Linked DNA regions of Macaca mulatta. The main gene of each other region encodes a partner of the protein of the gene in region 2 in a complex. Links are inferred from orthologs where the notes say so. Each region holds a gene or a part of one and is shown on either strand. Other genes may lie near its edges. The genes, in order: MMP10, TIMP1 and MMP3.

Region 1 (2,769 bases), on a different chromosome or scaffold from region 2:
AAATGGATTTTGGCCTGAATCATCTGGATAATTGCTATGTAGCTGAGGCTCCAAATAAGGTAATCACCCAAAATATTAGATATCTATTGCTGAGTAGAAAATTACCACATGTGCACATGCTCTCTTATCACCCAGGGGCTTCCACATACAAAATGGCAGCAAGAGAATATTCTAACAGGAGGGTGAGGGTGAGGGTGAGATGAGAAATTTAGTCTGCAGAGCAGGAAAGGAATCCCAATAAAGAAAGATTTGGGTTAAAACGAGAGGTGAGTGGACTCCAAACTAGTTTTATTTCCCCACCTGTAAAATTGTAAAGTCTATTAAATAATACGCCAGGTTCCCAGGCTCTAACATTCTAGAGTTCCATTTCTCCATTCTGCTTTGATCCTTCCTAGATACAGGACAACTGTTGATTTACCTTCTTTGTTAGGTGTGTAAGGAACGCTTACAATATCTGTGAGATGAAAAAGAAAGATCCTGTTGGTGCAGAGCATAGGAGAGGGTATGTGACAGCCACATGGCTCCTTTATAGTGTGTGATCCTACCACATCTACTGGCAGAGTATCTGTCAAATAATCAGTCCCCAGTGTGGTCAGGGTATTGAACATGAATTGTTCTAGAAAGTAAGGAACAGGCCCAAAATAAAACTTTTTATTGAAGAAGTAATAAAACATCTATGGAAATACATTCTCTCACCTATTGCACATGAGTATTTCTTAATTCTGTTGAACGTAATTCAAAAGCAAATGAAGAATTCCAGAAACATTCTCCATGACACATGCAGATGTCTGCAAGGCTCCTTTTCTTTAACCATAGAACATGCAGGAAAAATGAATCATTTTGGCTCATAATACATTAGATGAATAATTATTAGATTTATTTAAAACACCCATATCAGTTTTCCCCCTATCTTGTCTAGCAATGTAACCAGCTGTAACTCTTCAGTATGCGTGTCACCATCCTGGCATTGGGGTCAAACTCAAACTGTGATGATCCACTGAAGAAATAGAAAAATCCTGTAAACATAGAGAAGGAAAATGATGAGACATCTTCAAATATGTCATTTTGCAACATATGTGACTTAGATTAAGTACAAGTTAATAATGGATGGCATTTATTAAGTGATTACTCTATGCCAGGTACTGAGCTAAGTGCTTTACATGTTTAGCTCAATTACCCTTACAAAAAAGTGTAATGTGTTATTAATGAGAACAAAACTAAAAATTAGGACGGTTTTGTAATTTTAACAAGGTAGCATCTGTAAGGAAGGATGGAGGGAGGACACCATCTCATCTGACTCCAAAGGAAGTGCTCTAAAACATTATGTTATACTGGTTCTAAATATATAACATTCTATAATATTTTAAAATCTTGTTTTCCTTTCTTTCCAACCTCTCCTCTTCTGCTAGGTCCTAAATTACAGCTTAGGAGACAACTAGACCCAAGAGAATCAGACAAATGATAAATGAGCCAGAGGTCCATTTCCTGCTTTGCATCCATCATGGTTAAGTCATTTTAGTAACAAGATCATCAGCCTCATGAGCACTGGATTGTCAAGCACTGGCAGCTCCCTCCAAAATTCCTTCAGAGTAATCAAGAACAAGTTTTGCTTTCCTATTTACCCATTACCATGAATCACATTTTACCTATTCTGAGCATATGGGAGGGCTACTATTTTTTTTACAAATGACTAATGTAGGAAATTGCAGACTGCAACAGAAGCCCAGACAAGGCTCCCCTGGGATGGGATAGAAGGAAAGGGACAACAGGATGGGATAGAATAGAATGACAACCAGCCATTAGTAAACTTGGCTCACATAGATTGTATTTTTATACCAACATAGTGACCTGAAAGATAATGGCTTCTGTGTGAGAAAGTATCCTTTGATTTTATGTGCGGGTATGAAACAGAGACTTGGAAGCTATTCAGGAAAAAAAAAACCACACACACACACACACACACACACACACACACACACACACACAATTTAAACCCACTTTGCATAAATTGGAAAGTTAAGATTTTCAGGAATTTGGAGTAAAAAAGATATCAGACTGAATGATTTAAAAACTATTTTGATTCTGCACTTCATTTTGAAATCATAAAAATGCCTGGAGATTCCTGCATTGACAATGAAATAAGGGTCTTCTTACCAAATGCCTGTAATACTGCATCGACCTTAGGCTCAACTCCTGGAAAGTCATCAGCTATTAGTCTAGGGAAGCCTTGCTCCATGGACTGGCTATTTTCATCAAATCTAAGCCAAATGAAAGAAATACAGTTCAATGTTGCGTAGTAGTCCCATTACACACAATAGTATAATGTGATGTTAATTTTCCAGTGTGGAACCCTAGACAAACTTTTAAGTTGTGTAAAAAAGTGTTAAACATTTTTAGAGCTACAAGAAGAGGTTACTTTCCTGGGCTTACAAGTTTAACACATAAAACAATACTTTCCCAGAAACAGGAACATTCTGTCATTTTACAGAGGTTCCATACATATGTCTGAGGTAAATTTTCTAAGCCTGGACACACAGACCCCAAATTTCTATGTGTCTACCACAAATACATAAAGACTGTGTAGACATAAAATGCAAAATGAATTAAATCACTTAGCTAAAACTAAACCTCTGGTTCTCAGTCACACTGGGACCCTGTAGATCTTGTCTCCAAAGCCTGCCACACCTGGGCTTCCTATGGCAGCCACATGGTGACTGGAAACGGGATAAGAAGGGAATGTCTTTGGACCTCAGCTGGCCTCTCCTGATG
Region 2 (4,185 bases):
GAGAGTTAGAGGGACCAGGGACAGGCGATCACACGGTATTGGACACAGGGCAAGGGAGCAGCCAGAATTTGTAAGGGAGCAGTCTCGGGCTTGGGGAAATAGCAAGAGAGATCAGGGACAACCCTTAGGGTTTGGGAGCAGCCACAGGGACACAGAATAGCCAGAGGGAGCAAGGAACAAGCCCACGATTTAGGGAAGGGCCGCGGAAGGATCTCCCGTTGGAGGTCAGGGTCCAGGTACTCACTGTGCATTCCTCACAGCCAACAGTGTAGGTCTTGGTGAAGCCCCGGCGCTGAGCTAAGCTCAGACTGTTCCAGGGAGCCACGAAACTGCAGGTGGTGATGTGCAAGAGTCCGTCCTGCAGTTTTCCTAAGGAGAAAGCGGGGGTAACCGACAAGCAGCTTTTGATTGGCTGAGCCGCCAGGCTAGCAAAGGCCCGGCCTTCTGATAGGCTGAAATTGGGATGGTACCCATTTCCAGTGGAACCATTCCCATCAGAGCCTCGCCCCCTCGCTGTTGCTAGGCCGCGCCCCAGGGACTGGTTGGCGTGGCACAGGGCGCGGGGACGGTGCCTCACCAGCAATGAGAAACTCCTCGCTGCGGTTGTGGGACCTGTGGAAGTATCCGCAGACACTCTCCATGGCGGGGGTGTAGACGAACCGGATGTCAGCGGCATCCCCTAAGGCCTGGAACCCTTTATACATCTGTTGATGGATGAGGGGAAGTGTCTCTTTTACTGACATAATCCTCCCACTCCAGGTTCTTCCCTGAAGTCACATAGCATCCCAAGATCACAGCCAACTTTCTTGCACCAACCAGTGGCCAGAAGTTTCTGTTTTGACCAGGAGGAAGATGTTAGAAAATGCTGGGAAAGGGGCGGGAGCAGGGGATACCTTGGTCATCTTGATCTCATAACGCTGGTATAAGGTGGTCTGGTTGACTTCTGGTGTCCCCACGAACTTGGCCCTGATGACTGCAGGAGAGGAGGGAAATATGAGTCAAATGGACTGCATGAGCCAATAAAAATAAGATCATCATCATCATAATACCAGCAACGTGCATACATAAATAGGGGTTATTGGATGCCAGACAGCACACTAAGTGATTTACACATTTGTTTATTGATTCATCTGTATGTTGAGTGTCTCTCTTCGCCAGGCACTGCTTAAGCCATTTTCATATATTCATTTGTTCATTTACTCCTCAAATATTTGGGAGTGCCCAGACATTCCCACTGGCCCATGCTATATTCAGTGTTGAGCCCAATCTCTCTCCCAGACAGCAAGATCCCATTGCAGTGGTTCCTGTACCCATCACCATTGTCCTGAATATGGTCTTCCTTACTGTGCTATAACAACTATCACCGAATATTTTTCTCTTTAACAGGAAATCAGGAGTACTAAGGGGCAGGGGTTAAAATTTTAAACAAGATGGCCAGGGAAGGCCATCCTGAGAAGGTGACATTTGAGGCAGCCACCCATGTGGATACCTGGGGGGAAAGTGTACCAGGCAGAGGGAGCAGCCAGCACACAGGTCCTGTGGTGGGCTTGGGCACGGAGTACTCAAGAAAGTGTGAGGATGCCAATGTGGCTAAAGCAGAGGAAGAGCAGGGGGCGAGTGGAATCATTCTAGAGGTAAGTGCCATCGTGAGCCCCACCGGACTGAGAGGGAAACCAAGGCAGAGTGTGTGGGCTGAGTGGGGTGAGGACTCACCGAGGTCGGAATTGCAGAAGGCCGTCTGTGGGTGGGGTAGGACACAGGTGCAGGCCCTGCTGGGGGCTATCAGCCACAGCAACAACAGGATGCCGGAAGCCAGGGGCTCAAAGGGGGCCATGGTGGGTTCTGTGGGGAAGAGGGATGTCAGGCAGGCCCCAGCCCAGCTGATCTGCTGACCTGGGCAGGTCATCCACCCCATCCTGCCCCGGCGCAGCCTATGGGGGGATTAGGGGACTGGATTTGGGCTTCAGGGGTTGGGAAGCTTGGGGATTTTAAGGGGATTGGGGAGCCCAGAGGAATTTAGGGTTTAGAGAGTTGGGAAAGTTTAAATTATTGAGGGACTGAGTTGCGGGGTTATGGAGCTGTGGCACTTGGGGGAGAAGGGAGCTAAGGAAGTTTGAGGAATGAGGGGATTGGGGAATTCTGGAGGTTGAGGAGTTTGGGGGTGAGGAATTTGGGATTGGGGGCTGGAGGGGTTTGGAGGAGGCAGAGTTTAGGGGTTGTGTGTATTAAGAGATATAGGGGGCTGGGGGAATTTAGGGAGGTTGAGGAATTTGGAGGAGGTTGGGGATTTGGGGAGCTGGGGGAGTTTGGAGGTTGAAGGGGTTGGGGGAATTTGGGGGCTTAAGGCAATGGTGATACTTGAGGAATCTGAGGGCAAAAGAAGTTTGGGAGCTGGGGAGCTGGGAAACTGGGGATTGGGGAGATGGGGGAGTTCAGGGAGCTGCAGGGGTTAGCGGTGGGGATTTAGGAGGCGATGAGGGAAAGTGCTGGATGAAGGGATTTGCGGGGGATTTGGAAAGCATTTGTGATACTAGGGGGTCATGGGTTTGGGAGAGTTGGGGATGGATGTCAGGGGTTCTAGGGAGTTTGGAGCCTCAGGGTTGGGAAAGCGGTTCCAGCCTCCGACCCTCTTCCCCCTAGACTAGCCCAGGATCCTGGTACCCGCAGGCCAAGCTGAGTAGACAGGCATCTAGCACGGGAGTGCACGGGCCTGGTGGCCAGCACCCAAGCTGCGGCCCAGCCCCGGTTCCTGCTGGGCCATCCCGGGCCCTGCTTACCTCTCGTGTCTCTCTGGGCACTGGATCTGCGGCGATGGCGGCAGGGCCTGAGCGCTAGAGGATAAATGTCCACGCTAGGGGCGGGGGTGGCAGCGGGTGCGGAAACCACAGGCCTCCAGGCTTCCTGGATGCATTACTCATCCACCCACCATCAGTGCAGAAGCCAAGGGGCGGGCCGACGAAAGGAGATACACCCTCCTCCTCTCCCACCCCCCTCCTCTCCCTCTCCCTGGGCCTCGCCCGGGCCAGCCCCCTCCCCCACCTCCACGTCAGTCACTATTCCTTCCAAGGCGCCTCAGCGGAGAGCTTAGAGGCCGCATTCCCCCCAGCCCAGTCCCCTAAAGTCTCCAGAATCTATCCAATCACCCACATCCCCCAAGCTCCCTATGGCTCAAACCCAAATGAGTTCAGCCCTTCAACATTTATTGTGCATCTACTGTGTGCCAAGCACACAAAAATCCCTTGTTTTGTATGTCTGACATGCTGGTGAGGGGTGGCAGAGAGGAAACAAATTAAATAGCAGCAGTGGAGGGAGATAAGGCAGGTGAATGGGGAGGAACACAAAATGGGGAAACTGAGGCATGGAGTGGTTAAGTGACTTATCCAGGATCATAGAGTCAGTACATGGCAGAACTGAGACTGGAACTCAGGTGGCCAGGAACCAAAGCCAGGGTCTCAAAAAACACAGGCAAATAGCCGGCATTTATATAGCACCGACTGTATACCAGGCACTCAGCATAGTTTATCTCACTCAGAGCTCACAACAAATCTCTGAGATGGGTACCAGTTATTATTCCCATTTTACAGATGAGGAAATACGGGGTATAGAGGAACTGAAGAATTTTCCCAAGATCACAGGACATGGCCAGGATTCGAACTGAGGCTACCTGGCACCAGGATCGTAACTCAGGAGTGGCACCATCCTAGCAAGCAGGGAATGGTGCGGGTGAATGAATGAGCATTGGGAAGGGGGTGGCCATGAATGAAGGTGAAAGAAACAAGTGAGTGGGTCAGTAGAAAACTAGTCCCCACCCCATCCTGCCCTGCCCCTTCCCCACGGACCTATACCCCTGGTGGAGGGTGGGGTGGGGCAATCCTTGCCCACCAGCTTTTTGACAGTGCAGGAATCTTCCCTGGGGTTCTGATTAACACCCTTAATTCGAGGAGGATAGATCAATAATAATAATTGTAGTGATGATGGCAGCCGCTTATTGAGCACTTTCTGTATACTACGTGCTAAAGTATTTGTATAAATTATCTCATTCACTCGCCATACTCCCTTGCTAATTAAGTTTGATTAACTCAGGGATATTAGCCTAATAACAAGAACACAACAAAAACTACCAGCAGCCCCTACGGAGTGCTTACTGCGTATCCAGCACTGTTCTGGGTGGGAGGAAGGTGAGGA
Region 3 (2,966 bases), on a different chromosome or scaffold from region 2:
ATGAGACTGAGACATTATGAATTAAGATGAATATAGTTTCCTTTAACTGAGACTACAAATGGCAAATGTAAATATATTAAAACAGTGTTTAGCTTTGCATTGACAAATGAAGGTAAATATTTGATATGCTAAACAAATGGGTTCATTCCATTCCTGAGTACAAGAAAAGGGACCTGTTTCTTCTGGAGTTAATATGCTTGTGAGGCTGGGGGTGGGTTCCGGGGGATCAATCTCAAAGATTGATTTCAGGTATGAGTTTTAAAATACACTTAGCTTTCCATTAAGTGTGTAATTAGTCAATTGTTTGGTTAACCAACAAACAAGGTGTAAAAAGCCCTGTGTGGTTCCAAGAAGCAAAAACCAGTACAATGCACAGCAGACCTGTGTAATGTACGTGTATTTAAAAAATAAGTAACTATTGTTTTTGATTTCTTAAATAGGGGTCAATTTATTCCTCGTTGCTGCTCATGAACTTGGCCATTCCCTGGGTCTCTTTCACTCAGCCAACACTGAAGCTTTGATGTACCCACTCTACCACTCACTCACAGACCTGACTCGGTTCCGCCTGTCTCAAGATGATATAAATGGCATTCAGTCCCTCTATGGTGAGTGACGCTGGGAAAATTAGCCATTGTGGTTTTGCAACGATGGTCTTCAGAAGAGCTGTCAAATGCTACATTTAGCTGAAAGCACCGTGAGAATGTTTGGAAAGCACACAAACGGGCATATATTGAAACGTATCACATTTCCCCTAATGTTCCCTTTAGGACCTCCCCCTGGATCCCCTGAGACCCCCCTGGTACCCACGGACCCTGTCCCTCCAGCACCTGGGACGCCAGCCGCGTGCGATCCTGCTTTGTCCTTTGATGCCGTCAGCACTTTGAGGGGAGAAATCCTGTTCTTTAAAGACAGGTCAGACTGAAAAATTATATTTTCCTATCATTTTAGTCTACAGTGCTTAGAAAGGAAAACACACAGAAATTTGATAGAGATTTTTAAACATTTAAAACAAAAACGTTTCTTCTGAGCTTGGCATCATTTAGATCTGGTGCTGCCTTTTCCCACATTTTCCTAAAATTGCCAGGTTCGTATTTGAAGGCTCAGGCTGATCTGGTTCCTGTCTTCTAATTGCTATTTCCAAATGTTTTAAGTTGCGGTTACTTTTCAAAAGGCATGAGTAGATCTCTAGAATAATACTTTTATTTTTACTTCCTTTAAAAATGACATCAGGATCAACATTACATTTAATCAAGTAATTTACCTACTGATGGATCAATATGCACATGACAAACATTCAAACAGCACAAATGAGAAGAAAATTAAAAACTTTAGTTCCCAGTTCCCCCTATATTCATCCAGAGTCAAGACTTTTTGTGCATCCTTCTAGAATCTTTCTATACGTATATAAGAATATATTTATACAGCACATACACGTACACACACACTGCCCAGCTTTTGGAACAGGGCATAGCATACGCACTGTTTTGCACACGTTGCAGGTAGTTAAAGCTTATGCTGGGCTAATTCATTTGCATGATAGAATAATTTTTCTTCCATAGAAGACATTCCTCTGGAAACCTATGACAGGAGACTCACTGCAGTCTTCTGAAGAAAAAGGAAAGAAATTTTCTAATGGCAATATACCTGATTTCTATCTGTCATCCAGCCTAGAAGATGAGAGAATGGGGGAAGTTGCGTGAGGCAAGATGGTGAGGAAAATATTCTAAAGGTGAAAGACTGTTTTTCAATTTACATTTCTTTTTACATATATTTTAGGCACTTTTGGCGCAAATCTCTCAGGAAGCTTGAGCCTGACTTGTATTTGATCTCTTCATTTTGGCCGTCTCTTCCTTCAGGCGTGGATGCCACATATGAAGTTACTAGCAAGGATCTTGTTTTCATTTTTAAAGGTAATTATTACATCATCATTTGTTTAACTTGCTAAAATAAACCCTCTCATAAGAAATTGAACGACACTTTCCTTTTCCCTGCTACATCAAGTACTGGCTAGTACAGTAGTCAAAGGTAATGAAGAAATAACCAGGGCTGATATGATTGCATTTATATTTTATAGATGATAAAAATAAAGACAGGAAGATAAATTACCCAGAGTTGTAAATTCTCTCATTTGACCTTGGTTTATTCATTCAGTCTGCAAATTTTTGTGAAAAGCCCACTATGAGCTGGTGACTAAATCTAAAATTTGGGCTACTTCTTTACCATGAAAATCAAAGATGCTAAAGTGTATTTCTAAAGCTAAAGGGCTTAACTGTTATAATTCAATATGACTCTGAATTATTTATATTTAACAGGAAATCAGTTCTGGGCCATCAGAGGAAATGAGGTACAAGCTGGATACCCAAAAGGCATCCACACCCTAGGTTTCCCTCCAACTGTAAGGAAAATCGATGCAGCCCTTTTTGATAAGGAAAAGAAGAAAACATACTTCTTTGTAGAGGACAAATATTGGAGGTGAGATGCAAAAGAAATGACTTTGCGTGGAGCCTAATTAGTGAAATTAGTTTCTTTTTCTAAGGAAATCCCTCACCCCAACCTTAGGCCTGCTTCTCTCTTAGTAGGAAGGATGGGACTTCAGACAACTGTGGGAAAGTTCTTATTTTAAAACAGCAGCACTTTAAGCTCTCCTGCTTTGAGTCCCAAATGCAGTTGGCTGGTGCTTCCCTTAGTGCTGTTGTCCCAACTGCCTGGAGCCCCCTCTTCTCTCCTCAACCTATTCAAATCCTGCCCATCCTTCAAGTCCTGGCTCAAGTCTTATCACCTCCATGCAGCTTTCCCTCATGGACTTTAGACCCGTTGGGAAAATGTTCTGAGAATCCAGACCACCATTTAGCATTTCCTTCCCATTGTCTTATAGTTTGGCTCACTGTCTGTCTGTGTTTGTTACTGTCTCACTGTGCGTTTGTCTTGTCTTCCTAACACTACTATGTGATATCCAAGGGCTACCT

The links.
Region 1: the proteins of TIMP1 (region 2) and MMP10 are in contact, whole or in part, in a crystal structure (PDB 3V96), measured with the Homo sapiens proteins. The link is inferred for Macaca mulatta from reciprocal best matches to the Homo sapiens genes TIMP1 and MMP10. Residues at the interface, in NP_003245.1 of Homo sapiens: Cys24, Thr25, Cys26, Val27, Pro28, Asn37, Leu57, Tyr58, Pro87, Met89, Glu90, Ser91, Val92, Cys93, Arg98, Thr121, Cys122, Cys155, Leu156, Ser157, Ile158, Gln173, Leu174, Gly177, Ser178, Glu179, Lys180; in NP_002416.1 of Homo sapiens: Phe170, Tyr171, Gly177, His178, Ser179, Leu180, Ala181, His182, Ala183, Tyr184, Pro185, Tyr191, Asp205, Ala206, Ser207, Gly208, Val214, His217, Glu218, His221, Phe226, His227, Thr231, Tyr236, Pro237, Leu238, Tyr239, Asn240, Phe242, Thr243.
Region 3: the proteins of TIMP1 (region 2) and MMP3 are in contact, whole or in part, in a crystal structure (PDB 1UEA), measured with the Homo sapiens proteins. The link is inferred for Macaca mulatta from reciprocal best matches to the Homo sapiens genes TIMP1 and MMP3. Residues at the interface, in NP_003245.1 of Homo sapiens: Cys24, Thr25, Cys26, Val27, Pro28, Pro29, Val52, Thr56, Leu57, Tyr58, Pro87, Ala88, Met89, Glu90, Ser91, Val92, Cys93, Thr121, Cys122, Leu156, Ser157, Pro159, Gln173, Leu174, Gly177, Glu179; in NP_002413.1 of Homo sapiens: Phe100, Thr102, Phe103, Phe171, Tyr172, Gly178, Asn179, Val180, Leu181, Ala182, His183, Ala184, Tyr185, Ala186, Thr207, Thr208, Gly209, Thr210, Val215, His218, Glu219, His222, Phe227, His228, Tyr237, Pro238, Leu239, Tyr240, His241, Ser242.

What each region holds. Positions count from the first base shown.
Region 1 is NC_133419.1:103,641,978-103,644,746, forward strand, and holds the end of MMP10 (stromelysin-2), read right to left. Parts: intron 2,259-2,769; coding exon 2,155-2,258; intron 1,017-2,154; coding exon 916-1,016; 3' UTR 625-915; downstream 1-624. UniProt on the Homo sapiens protein: Can degrade fibronectin, gelatins of type I, III, IV, and V; weakly collagens III, IV, and V. Activates procollagenase.
Region 2 is NC_133426.1:47,601,920-47,606,104, reverse strand, and holds the start of TIMP1 (metalloproteinase inhibitor 1 precursor), read right to left. Parts: upstream 2,830-4,185; 5' UTR 2,778-2,829; intron 1,843-2,777; 5' UTR 1,835-1,842; coding exon 1,714-1,834; intron 974-1,713; coding exon 894-973; intron 705-893; coding exon 578-704; intron 370-577; coding exon 245-369; intron 1-244. UniProt on the Homo sapiens protein: Metalloproteinase inhibitor that functions by forming one to one complexes with target metalloproteinases, such as collagenases, and irreversibly inactivates them by binding to their catalytic zinc cofactor.
Region 3 is NC_133419.1:103,711,496-103,714,461, reverse strand, and holds part of MMP3 (stromelysin-1), read left to right. Parts: intron 1-440; coding exon 441-605; intron 606-767; coding exon 768-912; intron 913-1,776; coding exon 1,777-1,910; intron 1,911-2,312; coding exon 2,313-2,472; intron 2,473-2,966. UniProt on the Homo sapiens protein: Metalloproteinase with a rather broad substrate specificity that can degrade fibronectin, laminin, gelatins of type I, III, IV, and V; collagens III, IV, X, and IX, and cartilage proteoglycans.